Linked DNA regions of Lytechinus pictus. The main gene of each other region encodes a partner of the protein of the gene in region 2 in a complex. Links are inferred from orthologs where the notes say so. Each region holds a gene or a part of one and is shown on either strand. Other genes may lie near its edges.

The links.
Region 1: COP9 signalosome complex subunit 7b-like (region 2) and COP9 signalosome complex subunit 6-like share a complex: the UniProt entries of both Drosophila melanogaster proteins name them as parts of the CSN complex. The link is inferred for Lytechinus pictus from reciprocal best matches to the Drosophila melanogaster genes CSN7 and CSN6.

Annotation. Positions count from the first base shown.
Region 1 is NC_087260.1:11,638,713-11,655,306, forward strand, and holds the start of COP9 signalosome complex subunit 6-like, read left to right. Parts: upstream 1-9,914; 5' UTR 9,915-9,940; coding exon of another isoform or gene 9,941-10,006; 5' UTR 10,007-10,230; coding exon 10,231-10,396; intron 10,397-12,364; coding exon 12,365-12,496; intron 12,497-13,190; coding exon 13,191-13,279; intron 13,280-14,835; coding exon 14,836-14,898; intron 14,899-15,598; coding exon 15,599-15,761; intron 15,762-16,397; coding exon 16,398-16,591; intron 16,592-16,594. Other genes in the region: cyclic AMP receptor-like protein A, read right to left, coding at 1-89, 752-882, 1,545-1,623, 2,582-2,620, 3,196-3,285, 5,765-5,852, 6,013-6,073, 6,374-6,485 and 2 more. UniProt on the Drosophila melanogaster protein: Component of the COP9 signalosome complex (CSN), a complex involved in various cellular and developmental processes.
Region 2 is NC_087258.1:2,854,968-2,871,309, forward strand, and holds the start of COP9 signalosome complex subunit 7b-like, read left to right. Parts: upstream 1-10,317; 5' UTR 10,318-10,536; coding exon 10,537-10,602; intron 10,603-16,342. Other genes in the region: uncharacterized protein LOC129276772, read left to right, coding at 588-750, 5,822-6,035. UniProt on the Drosophila melanogaster protein: Component of the COP9 signalosome complex (CSN), a complex involved in various cellular and developmental processes.

The DNA.
Region 1 (16,594 bases), on a different chromosome or scaffold from region 2:
CATTAACCAGACCAACCAGCGGAGCAGACAAAGCGTGGAAGAGATACAACACAAAGACGGCATTATCAGGATTCACGGCATTCTGAATCCTGCACATAGGTGAGGAAAAAAAGAGGTGAAATTAAGAAATATTGAAAGAAATATGTCCATCATTAGGTTTAAAGTGATTTTGAAGGGGAGCAGTAACTTTCTATACACACATGTAGGTGGATTGTGTCCCATAGAATTGTGTTCGAAGAGCAATGAATATAAATCTAAAATGAATATTACCATCATGCCATTCATGAATTTGTGCGTTTCTACTTCAAACATTCACTGCTTTTGTTTAAAAGGTCAAATTCACAAATTCATTAATTTTCTATGTATATGCACTTTAAAAGAAAATCACAAATCGAAAATCCATATCTTATTGTTCAAAACAGAAATCAGAAACAGAAATCCACAGAAAATTAATTTTGCCCGATTGATCGTGGGCCCGGCAGCCACTGTGCAGCGCCAGATCAACGTAGCTCTATCCCTTGTATTGTTGAACGCCAAACAGGGTAGTACAACTCCCATCTTTTAACGTCTGTTGGTCTGACGCGGCCGGGTTTGAACTCCCGACCTCGAGGTTGTGAGACAACACACCGGTGTAGAAATACACTCCATAATTTAGAAATACCATACTAATAACTTAAAATAAGTACATGTATGTATTTGACATTTGGCATGTAATCTTACCATCATCTAAATAATCACACTTTGCCATTACCTGTTTATTAGCGGAAATATAGAAAGCACAAGATAAATAAATGGGTACGCTCTGAGCGGCTTGATCTCCTCTCGTATTAGCTGTCTATTTCGCTCTATTTCAGGTTCATAAGTCCCCTGCCAACTTCGTATCTATGGCAACAGAATTGGAAATAGAAAATATGTGGATTATAATTACAGTAATAATTTATAAAATACACTGTACTACAAAGCAATCGTAAAATATCTTTAAGTGGTTTAGAAAGGATTTTAATTAGCTCATTAGAAAGCAAGCAGACAATTTGAACAATACATTAAAAATGCAAACCTTGTTTATGAATTCATTTTGAAAAGAGGTACATGTAATCAGCAAAGACCCAATATACAAAATAAAGTGTTTGAAGATAAAATACATAAAACGGTACAAGAAAAATCATTATTCAAAATTGGGAAATATAACATGCAAATAACGCAACAAAATAAATATCAAAAGAGTACAAATGGTCCCAGCAATAGGCAAGTTTGAATATCATTGTTCTGTGGAGAGATAATAACAAATTAAACCAATGGCGCACAATATCTCCATATCACATATAAAAAACCTGGAAATAAATAAATTAAAATATACTTTTGTGATATTAATATATCAGGAAATACAAATACTGGGGCAATGAATTTAATAATATACATGTACATGTAGAAATATCTGACAGAAGTATCATGGCAAATTGAAGGTGGAAAATGTGTGAATAATTAAGCAGGATGATTTTGTCCTGCATTTAATGCAGTTTCTTTTTTATTATTAATGTACTTACCCTTTTTCTCAGCTTGTATGTAATATACGCATAGACAGCAAACATCAGAATTATCAGCAAAAAGAGTGGCCCATACCAGCTAAAACAGAAGACAAAATAACGATATCATAATGAGTGTTTTATCAAGAAATTTTAATATTTGCTTGATAGTTTCACCTTTCTAACAAGCATAACTGTGATTCTAAAAAATGTCATTGGGTTTTAATATAATTAACAAAAAAGTGACAAGTAATAGAAAACCAACCAGTAAATTGATAATCAAATAAATCAATTAATCATCAATGAAAAGATTAAATGACTACATAACCTACAAAACGATCATCTTTTTATATGTCAATATAGAATTGTGCAAACAATGATATTAAACCATCATTGATTAATCTTGGAATCTTATCAAGGGGAACTTTATAAATGTTGCAATCAATTGCATGTCAAATTTTAGGCACAAAATCAATCACAAGTCTGGCAATTAATTGCAAATAAACACTTGATTCTGAGTCTGCTTCTTTCAGCAAGTAGTACACTTCAATTTGGTATTGTTACAATTGATATATCAGTTGTAATTTGGCAACAGCAATTTGCAATTAATAGCAAATCTTTTCTTGCAAAACCCCTTTAGTCTGCATTGCTAAATTTCAGAAATTGGCCCACAAAATGCAACAAGGTTAACATGAGGGAGCGAGTTGGCTCTGTCGGTAAAGCGTCTGCCTTTTGAACCAAAGATCATGGGTTTCAAGTCCACCCCGTGCGGATGGCTGAAGCCTGTGTTGTGTGTAAACGTCCCTCCTCTGTTCAATAGATGCAGGCTATGTTACAGTGGAAAATACACCGTCCCTCGGATAGGACGTTAAATGGACGCCCCCCGTTAAGAACCCACTGCACTACTCGTATAAGAATAGGCGGAAACTCAGTGTAGTGGTCCACCTGTGCGTCATTAGTGATTCAATTCGCTTTTCACCTCCCAGGCACAGGTGACGCCAAACATATAATAATAACACTTGCACAAGGTGTGTAGTAAAAGAACCAGGGAAACTCACATGAAGAATCGCCATACTGGGTACTCTGCCGGTATCCAACTAGAAGGAAAAATGTTGAGAAGAAATAATTATAATTATACTAATACATAGTATTTGTATAGCACACTTTCCATCTTAATTAGAATCTCAGGGCACTTCAGAGCAAATTACAGAAAGAAAGAACTTACATTATAAGTTAAAATTATACAAGGATATCCTTCAATACATACATGTACACTGTAGATGGTTGAATGCAAAAAAAAAACCTCATTATTTATTCAGGTTGCACCTTTGAAGGTGACTTTTCTGGGTTTTCAAACTGGTCCTGCATGAGTCTGTTCCCCCATAAATTCTTTGAAACCAAAACTTGAAAAAGTTTAGAATTTGAGGATCTTATTTTGTGAATACTAGTAATGTAATGTGAAATTAATCATTAATTAGAGAATAAAGTGAGAGAAATGGTGGACGGAAAATTGTATGGGGGGCAATCTGGCATAATTTCTGGGCAGTTATATACATGTATGACATAATTTGTAACTTATCACCAAGCCCCAGCAGGTCCATAATTGTATGGGGGGCACTCTGACATAATTTCTGGGCAGTTATATACATGTATGACATAATTTGTAACTTACCACCAAGCTCCAGCTGGACCATAATGATTACCAATCAACGGTAGACAAGCCATGAGAAAGGAAAAACCCCAGGTCACTAGATGGTATATTCTGAATTTTGCACAGAAACAAAAATGTATTAATTTTGTGATTAATGGACATACAGTAGAAAATATAAATACACCCTATTTATGGTTTGTTTGTATCCCAGTATCACTTCCTTTATTGTATCTCAATATTCCTTTTAATTGCATTACACTTCCTACTTCATCTTTTTCATATTTTTTCCTCTTCCTCCTGTTCTTAATAATAATAATAATAATAATAATAATCCGCTTTTATATAGCGCTTAATACATCGGAACGACGTGTCTAAGCGCTTTTCAGATATATTATTACCCCGGTCATCGGATTCAATCAGTCGTTCCCGCACACAATGTATGCACATCCTCCACTCCCTGGGGAGTATTCCAGTCAGTCGCCGGCGAGGCCCACACAGTACTGGACAAGCTACAATGACTTTCACATCCTACTGGGTACACATTTAGTACTTAGGCAAAGTGTGGATGAACGTCTATAATAATCATACCAACATGCTTTAAAATGTAGCGTATATCACTGCTAAATGCGTCCCTATGCGCTTAATTGGATATTATTACCCTGGCTTTAGCCCGTGGCCTTTTACAGCGCGGTGGCATTTCAAGGAATAAATTCCTGCCAGGTACCCATTTACCACACCTACATGTAGGTCGAGTGCAGCTCAAAGTGGATAAAATTCTTGCCAAAGGAAATAACGCCATGCCTGGGAATCGAACCCACGACCCTCTGTTTCAAAGTCCGAAAACTAATCCACTGGGCCACAACGCTCAACAATGAAAGAAAGAAAGAAAGAATAGAGGATGATATAACACCTAGACAAAGGACGCCAGACCGCGGTGGGAATTGAACACACGACCCTCTGTTTATAAGGCGAGAGTCGGAACCACCACACCACGGCTCCTCCGTCCTTCTTGTCACTCCGCTTCCCTGTTTATTTTGTTTCTTTGTCCTTCTTCCTCTTTTTTTTCTTCTTTTCCAACTCTTTGATTCATTTTATTATTCAGCTCTGGGATGTTGCAAAACAGGTGTCTACATTGTACATGTATGGAGGGTCCTCCTCCTCTGCTTTCTCCTTCTTCTCCTCCTCCTCTTTCTTCTTCTTCTCCTCCTCCTCTTTCTTCTTCTTCTCCTCCTCCTTCTTCTCCTCTTTCTCCTCCTTCTTCTCCCCCTTCCTCTCCTCCTCTTTATTCTTTTTCTTCTTCTCCTTCTCTCCTCCTTCCCCTCCTCCTCCTCTACTGCTCCTCCCTCTTTTTGCCCCTTCTCCTCCTTCCCCTTTTCCTCCTTCTCCTCTACTCTCATTTCTACTATCTTATCATCGTCTATTCTTCCTTTCATGACTATTTTTCTTAATCTTCCACATTCCGCACATTATTCATATGCAGGAAAAACTACAATTCGCTTTGAAATTTGTTTGCAATACAGACTGCATTGTGTGGTAGAAAGGAGCATTTTAACAGGATTTAGAACAGGAAGAAGGAAATGTAATGACCATCGGTAAAAGACAAAATTGATACTTGTATGTGTCGATACTCAATACTCATACCATGATATTACAAGTACCTTAATGCATATCATATGTTAAAAAAGGGGTAAAAATAGTTTATTTTAGTTTCAAAACAGGGATTGCTTTCAAAACTAAAGAGTCTGGAAAGTTACTGTTTATAGTGATTTTAATATCAAAGTGTTTTATATGTATCCATTCATGGTGTAAAAGGCAGGGTAGGAATATTTTATATTATTATTACCAGCAAACATGTACGTGTAATTAGATAAAGCACAATTAGTTTAGGAATACAGTACTACATGAAGGTGTTACGACATTCAAAGCAAGGGGGGGGGGTGGGTTCCAAGTAACAAGAAATATTTATCCAATCCAAGGGGCTACATGCATTATACATGCTCTGACAAAAGTCAGAGCTTTTGATATATATCCCCAAATATTTTAGCATCAAAACAACACCCAAAGTCTTATAACAAACTCTGTAAAATTCATATTAATCATACATACAATGACTAGGGATTAGGGTTTACTCTGTGCATATAAAGATAAATGAAAGTAGTTGCAGTAAACACTGATTTCACGAGAAAGTGTGTTGAACAAAGCTTAATTGTCACTATATCATCAAGGATCTAGATCTGGTACAGTTACATAAACTGAACTTGTGACAAAATGTATACACCATAAATATCTGACAAACCCCAGTCTAAAAAATCAAAAACAAAGAAATTGAAAGTTTCCTTAATAAATTTGAACACTTGCAAATACATGTCTAACTTGCATAAACTGGGGAAATCACGAGCTTCATTACACCTTTAAACAACTCCTTTACAATGGAAAATCTGTACAAACATATTTTTCATAACCTTCGTAATAAAATTCCATCAGAGGTAGGCCCTTATAACAAATAATGAGACTACCAATATATCAAATTAATTGTCTATATATGCAAAATAACAAATAAACATAGAAATTTCAGCTTACTGCTACTCACATTTCTCTTCTCTCTGTGTTGATCATCCATATTGAAATCAAGTAAAGGTTAAAGGTTATACAGCTGACCCACATCAATGTCACCCAGTCTGAGAAAAGAAATTAGAAAAAAAAATGAAATTTGAAATATTCTGTAATCTTGACCCAACACAGTACCTGCTGAGCACTAATTTTCCCGCTGACAAAGAAAACGATATCAAAATCATATAAAAATATAATTTTATGGCAATTTTCATGGCAAGATCTTACCCCAAAATTGTGTCCACCATCCTTCAAAGTTACAGACTGCACTGTCTCCTCTTGGGCTTTCCTATAAAAGAGGAAATTACAAAAAGCAAGAAAAACATAATAAAACATGGCAAACTGATGCAAGTCTGACCCAAAGCAGCTGTATTCATTTTAGGAAACACAGAAGATAATAGTTACTGTATCTCATGTAATTAATTTTGCAATTTTTATGAATGAATGAAACTTCCTCTGAAATTAGACACAAGAATCCTACAGTAACATCTGCACAATTCCCATACTACACTCAACCAATCTGTATGTAGATGACTTTATATTAGTCTACAATTATATAACACATCACATAATTTGATATATCACTTACCAAAAACTTTGATATACTTCCAAAGAATGCTGCCACCGTGAGCCACAGGATTAGTCTTTGTACAAAGAGTTCATACTTCTTAAAGATCCAGATCACTGTTATCATGAAAACACTGAAGATATAAAGGACAAACAAACATTTAACAATCCCTTTCTTTCTTACATTCTAAATCCAAGCATACATGTAGGATGGGGGGTCGGGTGTCCGGACACTTTATATTTTTGAAGCCTTCTTTTTTGTCTTTGGATTACACTAAAAATATGAATTCAATACTTGTAATCATCTTCTATTTTGTTCTTTATAATATTTCCTAACATTTTGTACTAAAAATTTATGAAATTTCGCTTTCAAATTTTTCCAAATGACTTTCTAAAATTGATCGTCCGGACACACAACCTGTCCGGACACACAACCACTGGGTATACATTCATATTCAAGTGGAATTTATTTTATTTTCTTTCAGAGACAGTACCTACATGTATGCACCATTCTAAAAAGCTATGATTTCTCCATACATGTACATGTATGTGGCCACTACTATGTAACAGAATCATTGTTGTCAATTCAGTCAAATATACAAATATTATAAAAACAAAATTGCATTCATTCCTCAATTATTTGTTTTCTTTCTTCTTTCACATTTCATATATGGACAGCTCTCCAAATACATGATTTAAAAATCCATAAAATATAATTTTTTCAGAAAATATAAAATGATTTTTATCAATGCATTCATTACACCATCAGACACATTATTCCATAAAAGTACATACATGTACATTGTACAATGCTTTTATGAAATAAAAAAACTATTAAAAAGCATGGTTTGCACTATTAAATCAATCATGACATATGGGACAGCTGCCGCATGCAGCATGACACAATCAAAATTTTGATTAATAAGAAAATTTCACAAAGATGTTAAACCTTCTTCCATATGCTTTTTACATGTAGTTTTCTGCATTTATCAATATCAACATGATACTAGGGTAGACTACTTCCCCTTTAAGTGTCTTTAAGAATTAATCCACTGTACAATGTACATGTACAAGTAGATCTGTGTAGATGTCATAAACTTACCATCCAATTAAAGAGAGGGCAGCGAGAGCCTTTCGAATCCCATAAATAGTATTCTGGGTAGAAAAAAAAAAGAAATGTGAAAGTACTAGTTTATTTTGTGAAGAGGTTAACACCAGAGGTTGTGTAATCTGGGTTTTAAATTCCATTTTGGGCATCAATGTTCTGGAAATCCATTCATCTGCACGCTTTTCAAACATGCAACTACACGTTATGGAGTGATTACATACATGTACTTTTAATGACAGCTGACAATAAATCAGAACTTTATTTTACTTTTCTTTCAGTTACTCTTGAACTACAAACAATACACACATGTACTCTTCATAACCTAAATTTTGCATTTTTTTTCCTACATACATGTAGTTCTGCAATATTTTGTAAACCTCCTTGGAGCTTGCAATGAGTTCAGTATATAATGAAGAGTCATGTGACAATGCGTCACTCATATTCTTTTAAAAGACACCAATTAACTGACTTTACTGGAACATTTTACATAATCATAGTTATTTCCACATATTTTTTTTACAATTCTGGGGTTGATTGTGATCTAATTCCCATAAAATCACCATCTACAATGTACTATTCTACTTTCTCCTCCTTACTATACAATTCTCCTCTTCCTCTCCTTCTCCCTTTTTTTTCTCTCCTTCTCCCCTTATTTTCTTCTCTCCCTGTATTCCTTCCTCCTCATGCGACTTGTGAAATGATGTAGGGAGGGGATAATTTATTTTTTTTCTCCAAAAATTATACTCAAGACTGTATAAATTCTTTCATGAGGACATGTCTCAATATGCTTCATCCAAAAGGGAAAGGGGCTTTAAGGAGAAAAACATGAATTCTTAATAGGGCCTATTTTACAGTACAATAACTACAGTACAACAAATGAGAGAGTTGTCTTCCTTGCTGCCACTTTAAAATAAACATACAATGTAGATCTAGTTTACATTCTTTAAAACGTAAATCCCTTGTCCAATTTCCTTCAAACCTCTCTCCATTTTTCTTTCTCCTTCCACACATTACCGTAATTTTGTTACCTGAACAGCTGAAATCTGTCTGTTTGGAGAATTTTTTAAACATTTTTATACTTTCTGGTTTCTCCTCCTACATAGACACTAGCTACATGTATCTCACACACAGTGTGAGGGGCTGAGGGCCCTATTCCCATAGGTTCAATTGTACTATTCCCCTAAAAATGGGAATTCAGAATTTTTTATTCTTAATTTGTCACAAAATTGCACTGAGGTGGTGAATCAGACAAGATTCTGATCATTTTTAATATATTTTGATGAAAATGTTTGTATTAACAGTCAAAATCAATCTGAATTTTGGGGTTTAATACAATAGGTTCCTGCACTGGCTGCAGACATATCAGAGTGGAAACAATGACTTTGGTCTATGGAGGAGGAATAGTGAACCAAGACATATTCCACCACCCAACAAAACAGAGACTTCAAAATTTTCAGTCTATTGAATACCAAGGTCCAAGGTTAGATTCCCCTTAATCTAAAGTAACAATGTTGAAAAAGTATGGTTTCATTTCATTATAACGTTCATGTTTAAAATAGACTACAAAAAATTAATCCCAGGAAATCAAATGAAGAATAAAGCTTTCACCTCCTTCTCCCTACCTTTCAACTTGTTAATTTTACAAGCAACGTCAAGATCAATCTTTTAGGTTAATAAGGTTTATCGCGAATCAGCAAATATCAACAGAGGTCGCTGCACCGCAAAGCATGATGGGATCAAAAAGGGGGCAGAGACACAACCAAAAACAGCCCAATGATCACCACCGGTCACCTGGCATGATGAAAATTCTTGAAATTGTGAAAATAAGGATTACGTTACTCCCAGCCGCAAGTCGAAATGTGATTGTGAACAGTCGTCTGAATAGCAGCTAGCTTGCCCCCTTTTCAATCCCATGATGCATTGCAGTTCTGATTAGCAATATATGGTAACTAATCATAATTATATTGCACCTCGCTATATGACAGGTAAGACTAGTCTAACGCCGAGGACATTGATGCGGGAATTAAGCAACTAACTCGGAAACGACCTGGCGCAGATAATCTACCAGATTGAAGAGCGCCAACTTAACTCCAACACCAACCAACCAACCAATATACCTTGTTCTTATATTTGTTTTCAGTTGACTTCTTGGAGGTTGGAGTCGGACTCCTCATCATAAATTATATCATGCCATTCCCATTCATTTTCTTTTTTCATCTCATTCAATCATGTCATTTTACAATTACAATAAACGTTTTTCCCCATCTTATTTCTTGCCTCTTGTTTATTTTGCATGCTCATTTTGCTTCCACATCTGTTTCTTTAAAAAAAATGCAAACTGTTTTTTTTTTTTTAGATCTAGCCTAGCCTAAACCAAACGAACCCCTAAAAAGCCCCGGCCAAAGCCAAGGCAAAGCCGGGATTGCACGGGGGACCTCTGGCCAAATCAAATGTTAAGACTGCGACTACAGCTACACTCACACATTTTGTAACGTCACCATTAAACAACGGGCATTCTTCAAGCGGTGCGCTCGTAGGATCTGCCATCTTTGTTGAAAATATCACAAACAAATAACTTATAGATCCACTCCCTCGATTTTTAGCTCAACTTGAATGGAAAAATTCATGAAACAAACTCCGAAAGACGAAAATAATGTCTGACTCATTTTTCCACCGCACTCAAATTCTGATCCGATCCTGTGAATGAAAATTATGGTAAGCCACGCCCATATTCGTTACGTAATCAAGTCAAAGACTACATCAAGTTCAAGATGGCGTCGGAAATGGAAATCGAAGGGAGTTCATCCTCTTCACAGTCAGCTGTTATGGCTTCTGGAGGGACAGGAAGCGTGGCAGTTGCTCTTCATCCCCTGGTTGTCATGAATATTTCAGAACATTGGACTAGAATCCGTGCACAAGAAGGAAAACCTACCCAGGGTAAGACAGTTTTGTAATTGTATTTGTACTCTACATTGTCCCACGCATTGTATATCATGTGTGTTCACAAAGACGTGTGAGTGACTGTGAATGTGACAATGTCAATGATGCTGTGTCTGTGATTGTGTGAGTGTAACAAGGTTGGCTGAAGTTGGCTCCCGGCGCTAGTGTAGTTTCGCACCTCCCCGTTTAATGGTTTTCAAACATGTACAATCTCACCCTAAATAATTCACAACCTAAAATACTTGCATCTGAGCCTCCAAAGTCCAGTAGAAGTTGAATATTTGCCGTTTTGACACTTTTTTACAAAGTTTTACAAATTACACCTATTTCGGAAACACTCGGTCTCGGTTTAGAGCCTTGTTTTGAACTCTAGGTCTAGAGTTCAAAACAAGGCTCTACATTATTATTTCTTATTTCATCGCTAAATCTACGTGTATTCACATTTTTTACATTTCTTATTTCATTCAAACAAGCACACACACGCACACCCCACACACACCTTCACACAACAAACATCAACCACTCTGCACAACCACTACCGTAATACTTGGTGCAAGCTGAAAGAGGGGAAAAAATCTTTTTGAAGATACCATAGAAAAACTCGCTCTTCTTGCACTTCACTAGTTGGTACGTACTGTACGCGTACCGACTGCTTATGTGCAGCGCTGAGCTTCAAGCGACCGAGTGATTCCGAAATAGTTGTAAAACTTTGTAAAAAAAAGTGTCAAAACGGCAAATATTCAACTTCTACTGGACTTTGGAGGCTCAGATGCAAGTATTTTAGGTTGTGAATTATTTAGGGTGAGATTGTACATGTTTGAAAACCATTAAACGGGGAGGTGCAAAACTACACTAGCGCCTGGCTCCCCTGTCTGTGTCAAGATATAAACATGTGAATATGATATGTTTTTACTAATATTGAAATCTGACTTTTCTTCGAAAAATGCTACAAAATTAGACCAAACAAATAGTCAAAAGTTTTTTTTAATTTAAGAACGGAAAGAACTGCAAAAGTGCAAGAAGAATTTTAATTCTAAAAAGAAAAACTGGTTATTCCATCAAAGTCAAAAGTTAGTGATTAGTCACTGATTTTAAAGAACAGTTCTTATTGGTTCTTAGTAAGTAGTACTAGTATGAGCAAAATGCGCATGCAACGATGATCTTGATAGGCCATTTCATAATTGCTAGATAAACTTTGTGTTGCAGGGGCCCAGACCATTTGACTTTTTTTGTCATAGAAAGCCGTTATGCAATGTCATTGGGCCAACAGCTTGCCAGGACAATCAAAACACCTCACAGTTTCAATTGCCTTGCTGGTAATTGGCTCAACGATTTTGCAATGTATTCCATTTTATCATGTGCATTGTTGGTTCAGACAACAAGGACAAAGCTCTGGAATTCAACAATTCAATGTTCAATTCTTGTTGTTTTGTGCAGAATTGATGTCTTTTAGAAGGTGTTGCAAAAAAAATATTTGAAATCAATTGCAAAGTGACCGATAAATTCTACCTAAAATAAATCAATTTATAATTTGTTTATCAATGCAAGGAGCAGACCATCAATCAATTGCAAATTTGCAATGAAATGCATGACTTTCAAGTGACTTTGGGACCTGATATTGACTTGCAGATCCAGGATTTTCCAAAGGGGGGGGGGCACATTTTCCCGAGGAAAAATTTGACAAGCAAACAAAAAAGAAGGTTTTTAACCAAAAATTAGGCACATCTTGTCCACGAAAAAGTTTGACAAGGAAAAAAAAGTGTTCACTTTCAAAGGGGCGAGATTTGCCCCCCCCCCCCCCGGATCCGCCAGTGATTAGCCCTATATTTTGTGTTCTGCTTTCTTCTTTACACCATTCCTTCTGTATTTCCTTAATTTTGAGAGAAATTTGTCTTTCCTTCTTTAAACTTCCCATATTTATTTTGTACAGCATGTTAATAAATTTCATTATTTTTATTTCCGCAGTTCTTGGTGCTTTGATTGGTAAACAAGAAGGCAGAAACATAGAGGTCCTCAATTCATTTGAGCTTCTCTTTGACACCGTGGAGGGAGATATCATCATCGACAGGGAATACTACAACACAAAAGAAGAACAATGTAAGTGTGTAAACTTTGCACATATATGTGAAAGAATGAGTTGAAAATAATACATAAAATTAGGTGTTCAATTGGCCCATTGCAGAAATAAGCTAGATTCCAAAAGAAACTGATCAAACTATACAAGGGCACTGCACAAGTTCCACTCAGTCAAAATGAACAATATTTTTACCCAGGCTAGCTTTAATAATCTCTACTAAGCACATGTCAATAATTAAGAGATTGGTTCAGTCACAGAGAGGCTATAGCATTGGTTTCAGAATACAAAGTCACAAAATAGCAAAAGAAAGACCAATGAAAATGAGATAGGATAAAACGAACTTCCCAGTTTATCACACACGTCCATTACAGGCAGGTTAAGTGATTTGCTTGATCACAATTGAAGCTGTAGGAAGTTAAAAATCAAAATTTTTAGATGATTGGAACAATCACACAGCCACCCACAGATCCCCAGGGGGATGTGCCCTTAAGCGGGGGTTAATCAGAACATGGTGTGTGTGTGGCCTAGTGAGATACACACAGAGGGCAGGGCATGCGCTAATGTTTGTGGTGTGGAAATAGAAGTTTGAACAAGTTATTGCTTTTATGTAGGTGAGATTAAATTATTGTCCTTTTTAGTTAACAATTAATGATGTTTGATAAATTGCTTCTAGGAAACATGATGGAAGTCCTTGTTTCTATTTTGTTATTTCAGTCAAGCAGGTTTTTAAAGATCTTGAGTTTCTTGGTTGGTACACCACTGGAGGATCACCGGATGAATCTGATATCAAAGTTCACAAACAGGTAATATTAACTTATTGGGAGTTGCAAGAATCTTGCTATCGATTCCAAGTCAATCATTGATCTTCAAATCAATCACAAGTATTTTAATTAATTGCAAATTTGCAACGGATTGCTAGTCTGCTTCTTGCATCAACAAGTATACATGTAACTTGATTTGCTTTAGTTGAAATTGGTCTATCATTTGTGAATGTGCGACTGAAATCTGCTCTTGATTGCAACAATTTTCTTGCAACATCATCTTGTTCTATTTCTCAGATAGTCTAATACCACACAGGCTAAGCCCAATTGGTTTGATTGCTGTTTGGTCCATTCTACACTTGGTCTAATGCCACTAAGTCTAATTCTCAATTATTCTATCTAATTTTCAATTATTCTAATGCTCATACTGGTCTAATCTCTCTTCGTCTTCTATTTATTTTTCACAAAGGTTAATAGACTAATTGGTGCAGACCAAGTGGATATTGGACGAAACAGAAAAAGCCCAACTGCCCTTGATGATAAGATTTTCCGTGTCACTGACAAGTTTTCTATGAGACCTACAGGGGATTTTTTTTTAATTGGACAAATCCAATCTGGCTATTCTCTTGGATGAGAAAATTTGTAACCTTGAGTCATATAGAGGAGTTGTCCTTAAAAGTTGTTCAGTTACAGAGCTGACAGAGCTGAAGGAGAACTGATAAGTTCTCCTTTAGTCAACTAGTACCCTTTTTACACAGGATTTTCTTAGCCCCGGACTATCGCTAACCCCGTACTATCCTTAACCCCGTACTATTTTTTTTCCTTTTTACACATGCCAAATTGTTATTGCTAACCCCGGATAAGGAATGCTTGCTTTTCACACACGAAACTCGCTAACCCCGGACTAGTGGTTTTTGTTGATCATTCGTAGTACAAGTACTTCACTCGTACCTTTTTACACACGCTACAATTTCCTTAACCCCGTACTATAGGTGGGGCCAAATTGCCATTTAGCCCCACCTATAGTACGGGGTTAAGCTTAGCCCACTTTCGTTTTACACTAGCGATCTTAACCCCGTACTATCGCTCTTAGCACCGCAATTGCTGGGATAACCCTGCTTTTTTGCAGGGCCAAATAATCCCGTACTAAAGGTGGGGTTAGCCCACTTTGCAAAAATGCTGTGTAAAAAGAAAGTGGGCTAAGCTTAACCCCGTACTATAGGTGGGGCTAAATGGCAATTTAGCCCCACCTATAGTACGGGGTTAAGGAAATTTTAGCGTGTGTAAAAAGGGTATAGGGGAGCTGTCCTTAAGATTTGTTCTGATATAGGGACAGATCCTATCCGGCAGTTCCCGGGCTGAAAGACAGTATATACTGCCCCATGGATAACTTTTCCTTGAGGCCTCCAGAGGATTTGTCTTGAGGAGTTGGTCTGAAGAGTTCTGGTACAGATATTACAGTATTGCATGTGTAATGTTCTCATATTACAGCCTGTACTTGGACTATGTTCATGCATACAGACATTAATAATCCTGTAATGCAAATTTTTAGTATAAATTCAAAATGGTTTTTATATTTTCATTCTCGTTCTAAACAGATTTGTGAAATCAATGAGAGCCCCATCTTCTTGAAGCTGAATCCATTATCAAGACAGACTGATGTGAGTATTACTGCAGTTCTTGGGCCTGTAACACAAAGCTTAGCAATCTTTGTAGAACAGCTTTTTATGATTGAATTCATTGACTACAATGTACAATTAATGGGGAATTCAAGCATATGATCAATCGCAAACCTTTGTGTCATTGGACCTAGATGATAACATTAACAGTAATTCAAATAAGCCTCAAATTCAATATGTATTAATAATACATTGCACTTACAAAATTATAATGCAATGAAATTTTGAAAAAATAATGTATTGTAATTATAATGTAATAAAATAAAAATATGATGTATTATAATTTGAATTTATTTAGCATGTTAAATACTAGTAATCATAGGCTCACAATTAGAAAGAGTGTATGTAAGCATTTTAAAGACTAGTTTTAACAGTGTCATTGCTTTGAATATTGTTGCAATGAATTGTAATGATTGCCATACTATATCATGATTTTAATTTAAAAAATGAAGGTTACTAATGATGAGTTCATAATAGTGACATGACCAGGATTTATCCATATGACAACTAGTTATAAAGAATTTCAAGTAGTCTGAATATTTGTGATTTACAACTGTCACATTTCAGGGAGAAGATGCTGTTAAGTACACTAGTGATTATGATATCTATCTACAGTAACTGGTGATCGCAGATATACATGGATATCTTAAATTTTATTCATTACTTTTTAACAATTTAACAGCTTCCCGTCCACATGTTTGAATCAGTGATTGATCTGATCAACGGCATAGCAACCATGCTATTTGTGGAGCTGCATTTTACCCTAGCAACAGAAGAGGCTGAAAGAATAGGTGTTGATCATGTTGCTAGGGTAACCAACAGTGAAACTATGGAAAGCTCTGTGGGTAAGTGGTATGATCATATTTACCTTCTTCTTATGATAATCATCATAACAGCTATGGAGCTGACTGAAATACAAATGAAAAATATATATATTTATATAGTTTAGAGTATATAAAGTGAATGCCAAAAATTAAAAACTTCAATCCATCACTTAATCACTGTGCATTACCAGAGCTGCCAGTTAGTGGGATTTTATCCATTTAAGAAGGATTTTCAAGGGGATATTTACACTAAATAGGATATTGCCCCTATAAATGGGGTTTTTAAACTTGTATAGCATTTATGAGGCGCTTATCTAGTAGCCTATTCGATGGCGCACTATATATATTACCCCAGATATAGTTCAAGCTGCTAAATGCGCTCCATTCATTCAAGGAATTAATCCTGCCGGGTACTCATTCACCTCCTGTGGGTTGACTGAAGCAGAATGTGGGTAAATTTCTTTCTGAAAGTAACACCCCATGGCTGAGATTCGAAATCACATCCCTCTGATTGAAAGGCGAGAGTCATAACCACTAGACCTCGACGCCCCCAGTATAACATCATCATATCTTACAGCCGTTATTGACTGTTATTTGTTTTATATGTTGCTAGTTGTCAAGCATCTTCATGACTCTTTTATACTGTTTTTCATCTAGTTGCGGAGCACCTGATAGCACAACACAACGCCGTGAAGATGCTGCACAGTCGCGTAAAGCTGATCTTGGATTACGTGAAAGCTGTCCAGTCTGGTGAGGTGCCCATGAACCATGAGATTCTCCGGGATGCCAACAGTCTCTGCCACAGGCTACCGGTCCTGCATCTAGAAAAGTTTGATACAGAATTCTACAATGTA
Region 2 (16,342 bases):
CAGTCATGCATCTGATGTTTCTGTAGATGTAATATGAAGGTAGGCCTATTACAATAAAATTAAAAGAAAATCATTTATGATGCAATCAAGTAATTCATATTGTAAGCAAGCCTCTGATATTTCAGTCAAAGGAGAGATGTGTTCAAACAATGTTTTTTTTTATAATAATGTAGAGGATGTTATGCAGTTTGATTTTAAAAAGGGTTGTAATCAAATGGATCATATTTCAATCAAACCTTTGACATTTTAATCAAAGGAGATGTGTCATTTTCACTGAAATGAAGGATAGGGATCTGTACTGTGAATCCAATTTTAGAAAAAAAAACACGTTGCAATCAAATGGATTATGGTACAATCAAACCACTGATGTTTCAATCAAAGGCAACATGTAATCAATCCAATCATAGGAGAGATGTTTCAATGAAAGCAAGTATGTTTATATCATGTAAAACAAGGGGGGGGGGGTCTTGCAATCAATTAGTTCATTCCACAGTCTTTCCACTGATATTGCAATCAAATAAAAAATTGCAATCAACTGATAGATGGTGTAATTGATTAGCAATCAATTTACCTCTTCTATTTGACAGTCTTCTCAGCACCTGACAATCATTACCTTGCCACACTCTGTGACCCAGAGACAAGCCAGATTGAGTCCATATCTTGCCTCGACCAATCAAATCCATCGATGTGCTTCGTAACAGCAGGGCAGGAGCTGAGGATATGGCGTGCATTGCCTATCAACCAGCGCAGGTAAGAATGGCTTGGATCATAAGAGATTGCTTTCTCATGTGTGGTAATATTTCTAACATTGACTGCATTAGTCCAGTAGATATGTGAAAAAGATGCTCGAATCTGGCAGAAAGTGTGAAATTTGGCATACAGGGGTATTTTGGGGCGCTGATTTCAAAAATTGCCGGCCCCAAGCGATTTGACCATCGGGTCGGCCGCCATTTTGAAATCCAAAATGGCCGCCATTAAAAATCATTAAATGTCATTTTCTTGAGTTTTTCATGTCATGTGACACTGAAATTTGGCATATAGGGGTATTTTGAGGCACTGATTTCAAATATTGCCGGCCCCCAGCAATTTGACCATTTGGCCGGCGGCAAAATGGCCTCCATCTTGAAATCCAAGATGGCCGCCATGATATATTATTGCAATCATTTTTTCGAGTTTTATGTGAACTGCGGTATTGAAATTTGGCATATAGGCTTAATTTGGGGTGCTGATTTCAAATATTGCTGGCCCCAAGTGATTTGACCATCGGGTCGGCCGCCATTTTGAAATCCAAGATGGCCGCCATGAGAAATCATTAATGTCATTTTCTTGAGTTTTACATGACGTGTGACACTGAAATTTGGCATATAGGGGTATTTTTAGGCACTGATTTCAAATATTTGCCGGCTCCCAGCAATTTGACACTTTGGTCGGCGGCAAAATGGCCGCCATTTTGAAATCCAAGATGGCCACCATGAAAACTCATTAAATGACATTTTCTTGAGTTTTACATGATATGTGACACTGAAATTTGGCATACAGGGGTATTTTGAGGCACTGATGTCAAATATTGCCGGCCCCCAGCAATTTGACCTCCAGGTCAGTGACAAAACGGCCGCCATCTTAAAATCCAAGATGGCCGCCATGAAAGATAATTTGCTCAAGTCTTACGTATGGCCTGTAACACTTTAGATTTGGAGAAAAACTTGATCTTTGCATCCTTCATCAATGAAAAGAACATAATAAATAGATGCTATTTTGAATTCCAATATGATTACCAAGTTTGAATGATGTAGAACATTATAATGGTGAGTAAAACCCATTGTATAGGCACTAAAAACAAATCCAACACAAGCACATCTTTGTCCGTTGCAAGGATTACAATACTTTGGCACCCTTAATTGCTGATATAGATGTTACTTAAGTATGAAGCACCATACATACACAAACCAGCTAGCTTCTTCTGCAGTTACACATTTGAAGTGGCTTTGGTTGAATAATAACCATCCGGAACAATCATTTTCTGTTGAGAGGCTGTAAATTATTTCTTCATATGATCTGCAGTATTGCACTTTGATATATCGACAGAGTGTGGGGTGCTTATTTAAAATATTGCTGGCCCTCAGTGATCTGATCCCGAGTCAGAAGCAAAATGTCAGCCATCTTGAAATCCAAGATGGCTGCCATGAAAAAGATCATTGAAAAAATCACTTTATCTAGTATCACATAACGTATTATTTTAAAGTTTGGCATCTAGGGATATTGAAAATGCCCCCAGTAATCTGTCCAATAGATATGCTGCAAAATGGCCACCATCTTGAAATCTAGAGAGGATCTACTGTCATGAAAATTCATCAAAATCATTTTCTTTGTTTTAATTAATTTGAGGCACTGCATTTTAGACATACAGGCAAGTTTTTTGCCTGCTGGTTTGAAAATATTGCTCCAATAATTGCAATATTTTATTACAAATCAACATGAAGAAAACTGCTCCAGACTTGAAGTACTATGGTTATAGTGGTATTATGATGATGATGAAACTAATATTAATGATGGATGATAATAATACATATTTTATTGTTCAAAATAGAATTCAGTAACAGAAATGCTCCGAAAATTTATTTTGCCCATACCCTGTAGATCGTGAGCCCGGCAGCAATTTAGCAGCGCCACATCAGACGTTGCTCTATCCCTTAAAAAGGGGAGTTCACCCCGGAAAAAAGTTTGTTGTAAAAACAAAAGAAAATATGATATAAAAATGATATTGGTGGATCCATCAAAGATATTAGAATTTTAAGTTTTTGATTTGTGACGTCATATAGGCTACTGTACGAGCAGCTGCCCCATTATGTTGTGTGATATAAAATGCATAAATGGTTCATCATGGGTATTTTTTATCTTTCTGGAGCAGGTGTGAAATCATTTGTTTGTTGATATACCAAGGCTTCAATAAAAACATTTTCATTTTTTTAGGAGGCTACATTTCATTGATTTTGTACTATAAGAAACATGGGGGAACTGCTTGCATCTGACGTCACAAATAGACCAAATGAAATTCCAATAGTTTTTTAAATATTTGATGGAATTTCCTCAAACCTTCAATATTTTTTAATTATTTATTATGTTATCGTTTCAATAAACTTTTTGTCAGGTTGAACTTCCCTTTAATTCGTTGACCGCCAAACAGGTTAGAAGGAACTCCCCTCTTTTAACATCTTTTGGTCTGATGCTGTCGGAGCTTGAACTCCCGATCTCCCGATCGAGAGGCGAACATGCTCCCATTGTCAGATTGTCGAACACACGATGGTTATCCAAAAATGCAAAATTTCAAAATGATAACTACGTTATAATTATGATACTTATTTTTTTAATGAATTTTCTTATGGCAGCCATCTTGGATTTCAAGATGGCTGCCATTTTGCCTCTGACCAAATGGTCGAATTGCTGGGGGCTGGCAATATTTGAAATCAGTGCCTCAAAATACCCCTTTATGCCAAATTTCAGTGTCACATGACATGAAAAACTCAAGAAAATAACATTCAATGATTTTTCATGGCGGCCATCTTGAATTTCAAAATATCGGCCGACCCAATGGTCAAATCGCTTGGGGCCGGCAATTTTTGAAATCAGCACCCCAAATTAAGCCTATATGCCAAATTTCAGTACCGCAGTTCATATAAAACTCGATAAAATGATTGCAATATTATATCATGGCGGCCATCTTGGATTTCAAGATGGCGGACATTTTGCCGCCGGCCAAATGGTCGAATTGCTGGGGGCCGGCAATATTTGAAATCAGTGCCTCAAAATACCCATATATGCCAAATTTCAGTGTCACATGCCATGTAAAACTCAAGAAAATGACATTTAATGATTTTTCATGGCGGCCATTTTGGATTTCAAAATGGCGGCCGACCCGATGGTCAAATCGCTTGGGGCCGGCAATTTTTGAAATCAGCGCCCAAAAATACCCCTGTATGCCAAATTTCAGTACCGCAGTTCATATAAAACTCGAGAAAATTATTGCAATATTATATCATGGCGGCCATCTTGGATTTCAAGATGGCGGACATTTTGCCGCCGGCCAAATGGTCAAATTGCTGGGGGCCGGCAATATTTGAAATCAGTGCCTCAAAATACCCATATATGCCAAATTTCAGTGTCACATGCCATGTAAAACTCAAGAAAATGACATTTAATGATTTTTCATGGCGGCCATTTTGAATTTCAAAATGGCGGCCGACCCGATGGTCAAATCGCTTGGGGCCGGCAATTTTTGAAATCAGCGCCCAAAAATACCCCTGTATGCCAAATTTCACACTTTCTGCCAGATCCGAGCATCTTGGCCATTTTTTGTCCCATAACCGCTCCACTACATACTCTGAACAGTTAAAGGAGAATGAAACCTTTGGAACAAGATAGCTTGTGTGAAAACAGAAAAATCAAAGAAACAGACCAACAAAAGTTTTTGAAAAATCGGACAAATAATGAAAAAGTTATGAGCATTTGAATATTGTGATCACTAATGCTATGGAGATCCTCATATTGGCAATGCGACAAAGATGTGTGATGTCACTTGTGAAAAACTCTCCCCATTACTTAAGTTTATATTTCACTTAAACTGCCTCTTTTATCACATCTATCAGTAGATCATGTGTTCTTTCTATAGGAGGGCATGTGATACAGATTTTTAAAGAATACATCATGGATAAATAGTTTGTATCACCATAAGAAAAAGCAAAAAGACACATTTTGGGGGTATTTTATAGTCCATCAAAGGGAAAGTTGTTTACATGTGACATCACACATCCTTGTCGCATTGCCAATGGGAGGATCTCCATAGCATTAATGATTGCAATATTCAAATGCTCATAACTTTCTCATTATTTGTCCGATTTTTCTCAAACTTTCTTTGTTCTTATTCTATGATTTTTCTGTTTCGACACAAGCCTAATTGTTCCAAAGGTTTCATTCCTCTTTAAGGACTCGAATGAAGAATTCAAAGGGGCTAGGTTATTTTTGAAAAAAAAGGCACCTAAAAGGAAAGGCAGAGCTCACTTGAGGGGGCATCCGATGCCAATAAGAAAGGCCTCAATAGTAAAATATACTTTTTAATGTGAGACATGCACCTGGTTCCCGCAGGGCACCAAGGCTCAATGAAACTCGGTATAACACACATTATATCCTACATAAATTAATTCCTGTATGCTGATTGGTGTAAATAGCATCATGTGACCAAACATATTCTCACTATTTTGCGATGATGTTGAATATGAAATGCCCACTGAAGAGAATTTACTATTTCGTAAATTCTCTTCAGTGGGCGTTTCATTTTCAATTTGGGAAAAGTGCACTCTTCCTTGATTTACGTCACAGATCGCGCAATCTCTCGGGCACAGGCACAAATGCGTGTTCCGCTGAGTGCGTAGCTTCATGAAAAGTAGGTCAGTCAGCGCAGCGCGTTATCCATATTTTGGTTCAGAATTTAAAAAAGATGAAACTACGTGTACAAGAACAAGATTATCAAGATCTGTTCTAACTTATTAAATGTAGGATATAAAATAAATATACCAGGCCTTTATTTCGAAAGAATAGAGGGAATTATTAATCCTCGGTTGTACTGGAAAAATAGTACTGCCAGTCCACCAATAATTTACGCTGTACATACTAAAAAGCCTGTGATATTATATGTTCATGTAGCTGACATACTGTGTATATTTAGATTCTCAATGGTTATCATTTTGAATGCTTACAAAAACCTAATTCATTGAATAATTGCTATCAAATTTCATTAAATTTCTTTCCTACTGTGTTTATCTTACAGTTCAGCAGGTGCCATCTCTGCGACCTTTGACCCTGCCCTCACGATACCGGCGGACGATTCTGATGACGAGTCGAGTGAGTCCGAGCTGAGCGGAGATGACGTGTTCAGTCGAGGTTCAAACAGAGGATCGAACAGGAGATCGAGGAGAAGAGGGAGCATTGATTCGGAACATCAAGATTCTTCCTCATGGCTCTCATGGTGTTCATTAATATAAAATCATTGTGGTTTGGTCATCTCTTCCTTGTCTCAAATACTCATATTGGAAATGGCATTATTGGGGTGGGGTAGCGTAGGAAGGATGACAGGCGATTTCACCCTCATCCCAGCCTATTTAATCCCCAAAACTCCCAAATGGAATGCTTTCATTTGGGTTCAACCGTCTTTTCTTGAGTCGCCCCAAGATCTGCCACAGACAGTATTGTTCTAACAATACAGCAGAATTATGATAGTTGCATTCACGGCATAATAACTTGTGCAAAATATACAGCCCTTAAAATGAATGAAATGGCACCCCCGGAATCCAGTATTCGCCCCAATGTGAATATAAACGTAGCCCCCCCCCCCCCCCCCCGGAATTATTTCCTACCCTCGTGTGTGTGTGTGTGGGGGGGGGGGAGAGGGGGTTGATAACACACTGTTTTGTTGACATTGGTCATAAATGTGTGTACTTCAGAATTATGGATGGCCATATGCTATTTTCATATATAAAGAGATCTCATATAATGCATTCATGATAGGGAGTGGTATTGACAACCTCGGTGTCATTTTTAGTTTAATAACGAGCTAGATGCAGTTTAAATGAAATAGGAACATATAGGTGTATTAACATGAGCGAGCTGCTTTAGAATGATGCATTAATATTACATTTACTAAGTAAACTTCCAGCCAATGTGTAGATAGGTCACAGATGATTAATCTGTTTGATACACATAGCAATACCAGTATTATGTCCAATATAAATGTAATCTTATCCTGATTGCTGTTTTGAGAAGTAAGATGAAAAATTGGAATGTATTGTGCAAGTATTTCTTTATAGACTTTATGTAAATATGGATGTAAATAGCTGCAAAGTTTATCAATTATGAAATTATATTATTGGCTTGAGAGCAAGAAAGGAGTGTAAAGCTTTGATGTCTATCAATATTGAGGTGCATCTTTTGATGTTCAATATTCTTTAGCTAAATTTGTGAGATATTTCCTATTTTTGAGCAAGCGCCATGAGCGCCCAGCTGAGGTGGATACCGGCGCTATACAAGAAACCATCATCATTAAATATATTTATCATTTCTTATTTCCAGTGATCTGGGGCCAAATTCATATTACTTACATCTCTGGTAACAGTCAGTCCGCAAGCCCCTGTGTTAATGAGCAAATGAGCAAGATTTATCCAAGTCCTCTCGTGGCTGAATTCATGTCCCTGCAAAATCTCGTGAATTGTGAGACTTTCTTTCTCAAAGAATTTAACCACTTTCTCCTTGAGTAATATTGATTATTTTTGTACCATGGGCAAGAGTAAATGTTACCCTTTTATATTGGTCATTTCTTTTGAATGAAATATTTTGATAAATAAGTGAATTTTTCACCTGAAAAGATGCATCAAACAGAATTTTCTTCATCTGTTTTCACTTGCAAATTGTGCAACATTTTGTGTTTTAGGCACCAACATTATTTATATCATCAGAAAGCTCAAACTCTGTACTTTCTTACAATGTCACTCGTGATATGTGGCATCTTTTAGATGGGTCAGCAGCCAGTTATTTCCATCAAGATGCAAGACGAGATTTCTGAAATTTCTGAGTAACATAAAATCCAGAGTTCTGATTGGCTGAATATTGTTTTCAAAACAAACAGGCGCGAGTAATTTGAAGAGATTACCACATGGTGAGTGTGACCTTGCAGAGGCCCAGTGTGGGGAACATTGGAATTTGCGTGGGTGTGTGGTCTATGACCAATCAGAGCGCAGTATTCTTGTTTTTGAGCTGCAAAATGTACTTGGCCTATGAAAAGCTGGCTGCTGACCCATCTAACATACATCTTCTTATAAAAATTATATCATATTAAAGCTTAGATCTTCAGCTTTATCATGATTTAAAAATCATTTGTGCCTAAACAGAAATTAAGTGTGAAAACAACAACTTTTGTTGCATGAAAACCATTATTTCATGTTTTAGATCAAAAGTTTCCCCTATATTACAACATTCTTTTAAAAATCCAAACACATGACCTAAAAGAAAGATTCTTCTTCTTTACAAAGATACCAAAAACATGAAATTTTGTCAATATTTAGAGCAGCAATGGCCGAATAAAAAGAGGTGTTTTGGTTCGCACCAAGCTCATTAACTATGCAAAAACCCTCTTGTCATGAATATCACTTGGATAAAAGAAGCTACTTTTTCAGGGCTTGCGGACTGACTGTAACATTGTCATTGTAACTACCATGGAAACCTTGAATGTGATTGGCTTCTGAGCCATGTTACCATTCCTTCATTGAAAAAATAATGGTAAAAGTTGTAACTATATGAATTAGGCCCCTGCCCCCCTGGATGTGTTTGTATTTCCGAATTTCAGCTGAAGTTTGACATTTTTCCAGACATTTACACAGAACTTAGTCTATAAGTGTATGAACACTGACCAAGAATCTTCATTCAAAATACATTGTTTGACAGACTACACAATTTTGATTTGAGGGGCATTTACTCTTTCGGCTATGTTCATCTAGCGCTGCGCAGTGGCTGCTGGGCCCATGATCAATTGGCCAAAACGAATTTTTAGAGCGTTTCTATATCAGATTTATATATCGAATGAGAAAAATATGGATATGGAAATATATAAATACCATTGTTTCTTTCTTTAATAGGTCATCATTTTCAGATCTCCCTACATTTGAAATAATAAAAGTAATAAGTTTCATTATCTGTCGTATTTTTCCCCTTTGTGTTCCTTTGGAATTACAAGTACGTCTTCCCAAATCTTATCTCTTGTGACCAAATTAACCTGTTTGAATAAGGGCAACATTTCACTTTGAAGAAGTGAATAACACACATGCTGTGTGTATAAATGTGGCCAGAAAAATTGCTTTGACTTGATCATTTTCAGCTTGTGACATCACAATGGGTTATCGCGTTGGGTCGAGCGAATCCTGACCTTAATTCCAAAAACGTTGGGTCCAGTTTACCTGACCATTTGAGAATTTGGCTATAATTTTCACAAAACATCGGGTAAATTGGTCCCGACCTGTCAGGAATTTAGGGGGGGGGGCCTTTTCTCAAATGGGCGGGTAAACTGGACCCCATGTGGTGGGAATTTAGGCGGTCCCTTTCTCGAATGGTCGAGTTATGCGATTACCGACCTGTCACGATAACCCTATGATTTTGTGATTCATAGGAGGTTGAACTACATGAAGACTTTATTTTCCATATGAATTCTATTCTGTAATTCCCTCCGAGAATTATTAAATTCAGAATTTTTTTTTTGAAAATGCCCCCTCTAATTACAGTACTTTGAATAAGGCATTTTAAAATGTCATTGTGTATTCAATTGTCTTTATATGGATATATTATATTGGTGTTTTGTAGACCAAATTAGCATTCTGTCTTATTTGCGCTGAAAATGTGCCGTGAAATGTGCCATCATTTATAATCATTGTAAATTATGAAATATATTAAATATCGAATGTGCAATTTGTGTTTGAACTTGTTACTAGACTGACTTTTAATTATCGTAGAGAAGGGGGGGGGGGGTGACTGAGGAAAGAGGGGAGGGGTGGAAAAAGAGAAATGGAAGAAAAAGGATGTGGGAGGAAAGGAAATAGTAGGAGAAGCTTAGAAGAAGATTAGTAGAAAGGATCGAGAAAAGGGAAGAAGTAAAGAAATGTGAGAAGTCGAGAATGGAGAGGAGGAAAGGAATGAAAAGATATGAAAGTGGAGAAGTAGAAGAGAATGAAATGGAGAGTGCATGATGAGGAGTGGAATGAAATGGAAGAAATGAAGAGAGGTGAAGAAAGGAGAATGAAATTGAGGAAAGGAGAAATAGAAGAAAAAGAGGATATGAATAAAGAAAAGGAAGAAAAGGAGGACAAGCAAAAACAGAGGAAAATACTATTGTTTTAATCGATCAAGGGCTGGGGTATATCCTACTTTGAGAAAGATTTCAATGACTTGAATGGGTATGTGATCTTATAGAGTAACAGGATCCATTTGCTTCACCTATATCAACTTGTCTGTTTTTTCTTTTTCCTCTTACAGCAAGTTTTTATTTGGGTTGGATTTCTAGTAGTAGACTAGCTGATGTAGGAAGCTCAGAAAGTAAAGCTATCGAGAGGGTGGAGGGCATAGGAAGCGAGAGAGGTAATTAAAGGAGGAAACGATGGAGGAGAGGGGGTAACAAGGGGGGGGGGGTGGAGGCCGTAGATAATGGAGGAGGATCAGGCAAGGAGCCCCATAGGCCTGGGAAGGAGGAAGAAGAGAAGGGGGGGGGCAGGAATTAGGGGCGGGATCAGGAAGAGTGTGGACAAATTGAGGGGAAAAAATATTAGGCTAGGATGATGAGAAGCGCGGAGCTAGAGGAGGCCACATGTTTTGGTTTAATTACTGACTACTAGTACCGTACTTATGTGAAGTTGGACGAACTTTCAAGTGGTATACGAGATGTAGCCAAATCTGGCCATCCGATGATACTAGTGATAGATCACCAAGCAAAATATATGCACGGTTCAGATGCGCATGCGTGCATCCATTAAGATAAGAAGTGCAGCTGTGCCTAGTGTAGCGGATTCTGTCACTGTAAGTTGGTCATTGTTTGCGTTTTAGTTTCCAAAGTAAATAAATAAAAAAAAACATTCTTAATTCTTTAAGGTGAATAAAGATCGATTTATTATTTTAAATGTAATTCTCATACTCTAGAGTCATGTTTTGCTTGTAAAACACGAACGACATAAACCTATCGTTTAGTACAGTCCCATACGCGTATATTTTTGTGGTAAATTCGGCCAGTTTTTTTAAAGAATTTTTTTTGGGGGGCCATTACTTACTAGGCCCACCAATTACGAAGCAAGTCCGACCGACGTCCTGCTCTTCTCCGCACAGCTGATTGGGACGTGGGGTATATCTCAAATCTTTGTCTGAGCGAAATCGCCTCTTAATTCGGACCGTACGCTGGGGCCGCGGCACTCTAGGCGACACCCCAATACTTACCCGTGCTAATAAACTGGGACTCCACTCACGCGCATTTGGGCCGCCCTAGCTTAGAACTAAGCAATATTATCTAGAAATTGTTACATTGTAGTCATGAAATATGTTCTATTAAATAAATTGATAATGTTTAATCGGTACTCACCGGTTCTTTTGTTGCATTTTCAGACCATTTCTCACAATTCTTCGTAAATATCTGCGGCAAATTTTGTCGCCATAGACAGCTTAACATCCATCTTTATTGATAAATGGAGCGCCCTTTACGATAGTTGTTAATGCCGCGGAGAAATCGTTAGGCATTTTGGCCTGTGTTCAAGGCGTAGCTGTTCTATTTTTTTTTATAGGTATGAGATCGAAATCACAGCGAGTATTTACACTCTTCCATAATGATTCCGAAAGGGAGGCGCAACACCCCCCACCCACAGGGGCGCAAATTCCAGGGGGACATGTCCCCCTCACCTAGAATAGTAGGGGGACACATTATGAAATGTCATCCCCCTACTATTTTGGGTCTTTTCATTCAAAATCGAAATAAAATATGTATTTTGGAAGAGACGATCTTACTTTTGGGGTGCCCTTTTTTTTTGCTTGTTTGCTTATCAAATTTCTTTTGGTCAAGATGACCTTCTTTTTGGGGTGATAAACCTTCTTTTTTGTTTTTGTTTGTTTGTTTTTTTCTTGTCAAATTTTCCAGCCCCTGGTCCCGGCTACCTTTAGGGAGAGATTTCCGCCCTTGCCTAACAGTACACTTGATATTGTTTGCGAATCTGCGTGGGCGTCGGGGGCTGGGGGATGAGGAAAAGCGGTGAGACGAGAAAAAAAAATAGAAGGAAAAAGAGGACAGAAAAAAAAGTGAACGAAAGAAAAATTAATGGAAAATAAAAGGGAGGAGAAAATAGTGAGAAAAGTGATGGGTAGGTCGAGATTTTATGTGTCCGTGCAAAAAGAAATGAGCAGAGGTTGAGATGTTGTCTGTTTGGGCAAATGTCTGTCTGTTTGTTGGACTGGCGCCTGTTGCAAAAATTATTAAGCTGATGGAATCAGAAAGTTCCAACTGCTTCATGTCATACCGACAGTGACAGGATTAAGCGGTTGTATATATAAATCACGCTCTAAAACTGTGTTCTTTATTAAAAAGTTGTCCTTCATATCCATTTTCGCAAAAGAATATCAAGTTTTCAATTAATTGTCTATAGTTATCCTGTTTATGATAAAAATACTTAGAAATTGGGTTAGGTTAGGGTTATCAAATTATCGGGGCAGAAAATATATTTTTTCAGTTCGCGCGTCGAGCTGGCATTAGTGATCAGTGAGATTATGTTTTTAATGACATTCATTCTATTCACAGCAATATATTATTAAACATAGCCGCATGAATTATAGATAGGTCTATAGTTATCAGGTGAATAATTTACCGCTACACACTGATCATGCGGATACTGTTTTGTAAAGGGGAATTTCACCTTGATAAAAAGATTGTGAAAATATAGGCCAAAGAAAAATAATTTCAAAACATAGGTGAAGGTGTTATTAAAAAAAAATGGAGTTAGTAGAATTTCGAATGCTTGATTTGTGACGTCATAAACGAACAGTTGCTCAATATTCTATGTAATACAAAATGCAAAAATTTCCCATTTTTAATGGACCGTAATGACCCACTTTTTTCTTTTTGGAGAGAGTATGAAGTTATCTATTGACATACTGAATGTACAATAAAAGTCATTATCACGTATTTCTTGACATTTCATTTACTTTTTACCATAATTATATCCGATATAGCTGCTCGCAAAGGCCTACGCCGTCACAAATAATTATTTAAAAAATCTCACCTTTAATTATTTTTTGGTGGGGGATGGATTTTTCCTGAACGCATACCAATTTTTCAAATTATTTTTTCTGCTATTTTCATAATTAACTTTAAATAAATTCACCTATGCACTACTTAATTTTTTCAAAGACAAAATAACAAAATTACATCTAGTCTTCATCATCACCATCATCACCAACTTCATTCTCATCATAATCACCACTACCACCATCATTATCATCATCATCATCATCATCATCATCATCATCATCACCGCCACCATCACCACCACCATCATCATCACCAAGATAATTTTCATCATCATCATCTTTCTTTTTTTTTCTTTTTTTTTCCCCTTCCCTTCTTCTTTTTTTCCTTCCTATTTTCCTCCCTTTTTAGAGGGGCACACCACCAAATAAATATGTTTGTTGTTGTTGTATATAAGTTGGCGGATGCCTCATGAAATGAAATAAAAGAGAAAATAAGGAAATGGAAAAAGTAAGAAGAAGGATAAGAAGAAAAAAAGAAAGCCAAACAAACAAGACAAAATAATATCAAAATTTTGTAATAAAGTCAGTCTGTTTAATAATTATGTTTTCAATGAAATGAGACATAAAAGAATTGAAACAAGTAAAAAGGGCTACATCATAGTTAAAAGAAATAGAGGGAAGCTCCGAGACAATAAAAAGTGTTTAAAAAATCAGAAAAGACTTTGAAACACTCTGAACACGAGTATGATATATAAAAAAATTGGGAATAAGCGAGGACAAGTAGGTGAGGGACCCCCCCCCCCTCTCTCTCTAGTTATTTACTCAAACTCGCATATACAAGAGAAGAAATTCTTACTAATCAAAATATTGTGAGCAAAAAGCATGAGCTGACATTTTTTTTAATATTCAAAACTGATAGAGAGACACATTTTGAACAATTCATGAAACATAATAATCATTCATTATAGTTACCAATCGGATTGCGACAAGATCTGAGAATTAGAAATTCATTAAAAGCATAAAATTGTATAACATTAAAATAAGACGGGCGCAACGCATGAGCTAAAGCTTTATATACCAATTAAAAATTTGGACATTTTTAGCGCTTTCGGTAGTCATGAAAAAGATTCATATTTCATGAAAGCTCAAATCCCGAGGAGGAATATTTTTTATTAATTGACTTAAAAAAGGCTGTTCTAATTAAGCCCCATTTAATATTTGATTACAAGTCTCGTTAAACAGTAAAAGAGGAAAAAATAAAGCATATTGTGTTCCTCAATTCTCTTTCTCTTTAACCCTATTTTTTTTTTTTTTTTTTTTTTTTTTTTTTTTTTGGGGAGGTATTTTGGTAAAAAAAAAAGAGAAAAAAACGATAATTGCTGGCTAGTGGGTGTATAGTGGTAGGGACACCCCACCCCCACCCCCCCCCCCGTAGTTACACAAACATGGGACCAAATGATCCTACTTGTTCCAAGGCGAAACTTGTGCAATCAATTAAATGTTATTTTTGAGAAAATTAAAGCTTGCGCTGTTTAAATTCAATCTCTTTCACCTAAATTTGCGATGAATGCTAGTATTATGAAATATATAATTATCAACGTCTGGCGAAAAGAATAACCAACCGATCAGCTGACGAGAACGCGTATCACGTGATCTGCATATCAGCTTCGATCGCGAGTCAGAAGTGAAGAGTAACTGGCAATAAAATCTGGAAAAAGTCGTCAAAATGTAAGTTCCCCTTCATTTCTTTCAATTTTTTTTTATTGCTAACAATGCTTTAACTTTCTTAAACAAAAATTTAATGAATAGACAGTACGATAGCTCGTACTTGTGTTATAATACACAAATAATCATCTTCACAAAGATTTCTGACACAAAATACTACAGATGTCGCCTATGAGGTCCATACATGTAATGTTTGGACCTCATTGGTACTAGGAGTGGGGCCGCGGCACTCTAGGCGACACCCCAATACTTACCCGTGCTAATAAACTGGGACTCCACTCACGCGCGTTTGGGCCTCCCTAGCTTAGAACTAAGCACTAATATCACCTTAAAAACTAAATCTACAAGGTATGTATAATCTATTTACAACTTTAATAATGTTTAATCGGTACTCACCGGTTCTTTTGTTGCATTTTCAGACCATTTCTCACAATTCTTCGTAAATATTTGCGGCAAATTTTGTCACCATAGACAGCTTAGCATCCATCTTTATTGATAAATGGAGCGCCCTTTACGATAGTTGTTAATGCCGCGGAGAAATCGTTAGGCATTTTGGCCTGTGTTCAAGGCGTTCTTTCTGTTTTATTTTTTATATTGAAGATTGTGCATTTGTTGAATAGCGCCGTCTACGTCAGGTATGAGATCGAGTGTATAAATACACTCTTCCAAAATAATTATGATTCCGACCTGGCGCTGTTTAACTTCAATCTCTTTCACCTAAATTAGCGATGAATGCTAGCATTATAAAATATATATTATTAACGTCTGACGAAAAGAATAACCAACCGATCAGCTGACGAGAACGCAAATCACGTGATCTTCATATCAGCTTCGATCGCGAGTCAGAAGAGAAGAGCAGCTGCCCAGAAAATCAGGAAAAAGCCGTGAAAATGTAAGTTCCCCTTCATTTCTTTCATTTTTTGTTGTTGCTAACGATGCATTTACACTATAAAATTATAATTTAAATAAGAGAAAGGAATATAGCTTGTACTTGTGATATAATGTATAAATATCCTGTTCTCAGAGATTTCTAACCAAAAATACTACTGATGTCGCCTATGAGGTCCATACATGTAATGTTGGACCTCATTGGTACTAGGAGTGGGGCCGCGGAACGGTTTTCAAACTCAAGTAAAAGTGGGGGGGCTGACCATGCTAAAAATCACAATCATATGGTCATTTTTACGTTTTTGTACACGGTTTTGGAAAAAAGTGGCGGGGCTGAAGCCCCCCCAGCCCCCCCCGCTTCCGCGGCCCCTGGTACGAACCGTGAGCCGAGTGTGCAGCTGCAATAGTGCAAAGGCCAAAGCCGGGTCATCTTCTGGTCTTGTGTAGCCTAGCCAGGCGGCTTCTTGAGAGTAAAAATCATTTACTAACGTAGGCTTACTCAATGAAGCCAGGGAGTCCTTCCTATTCACCTACACGAAGGACCCCAAAACCTGAAACTTTCACCCCCGAGATTTCTACTTTCCTTCTAAAAGATCTAGCTCTAAATCATGTACATGGGATAAAACTTCATTTCCGACATTTCTATGCTCTCGTTGTTATTTTTAAACAAGAATTCATCAAAAAAATGAAAAAATATTGTGAAAAGACGGAAGAGACTTGCCCGATGTTTACGCCGCCATCTTGTTTCTTATTGTAGTTCCCCAACGTTACGCGATGCTCGCGTCCGTAACGTTGACGCTGCCCGAGTGCCTGAAATGGGACCCTTTTCAACGTTTTTTCTGGACGCGGGTGCGTAACAGGCCATGTGAAAAAGTGACCCCCCGCGGGGTGCTATCTTTTGGCCGATCAAAGCAAATTAAAA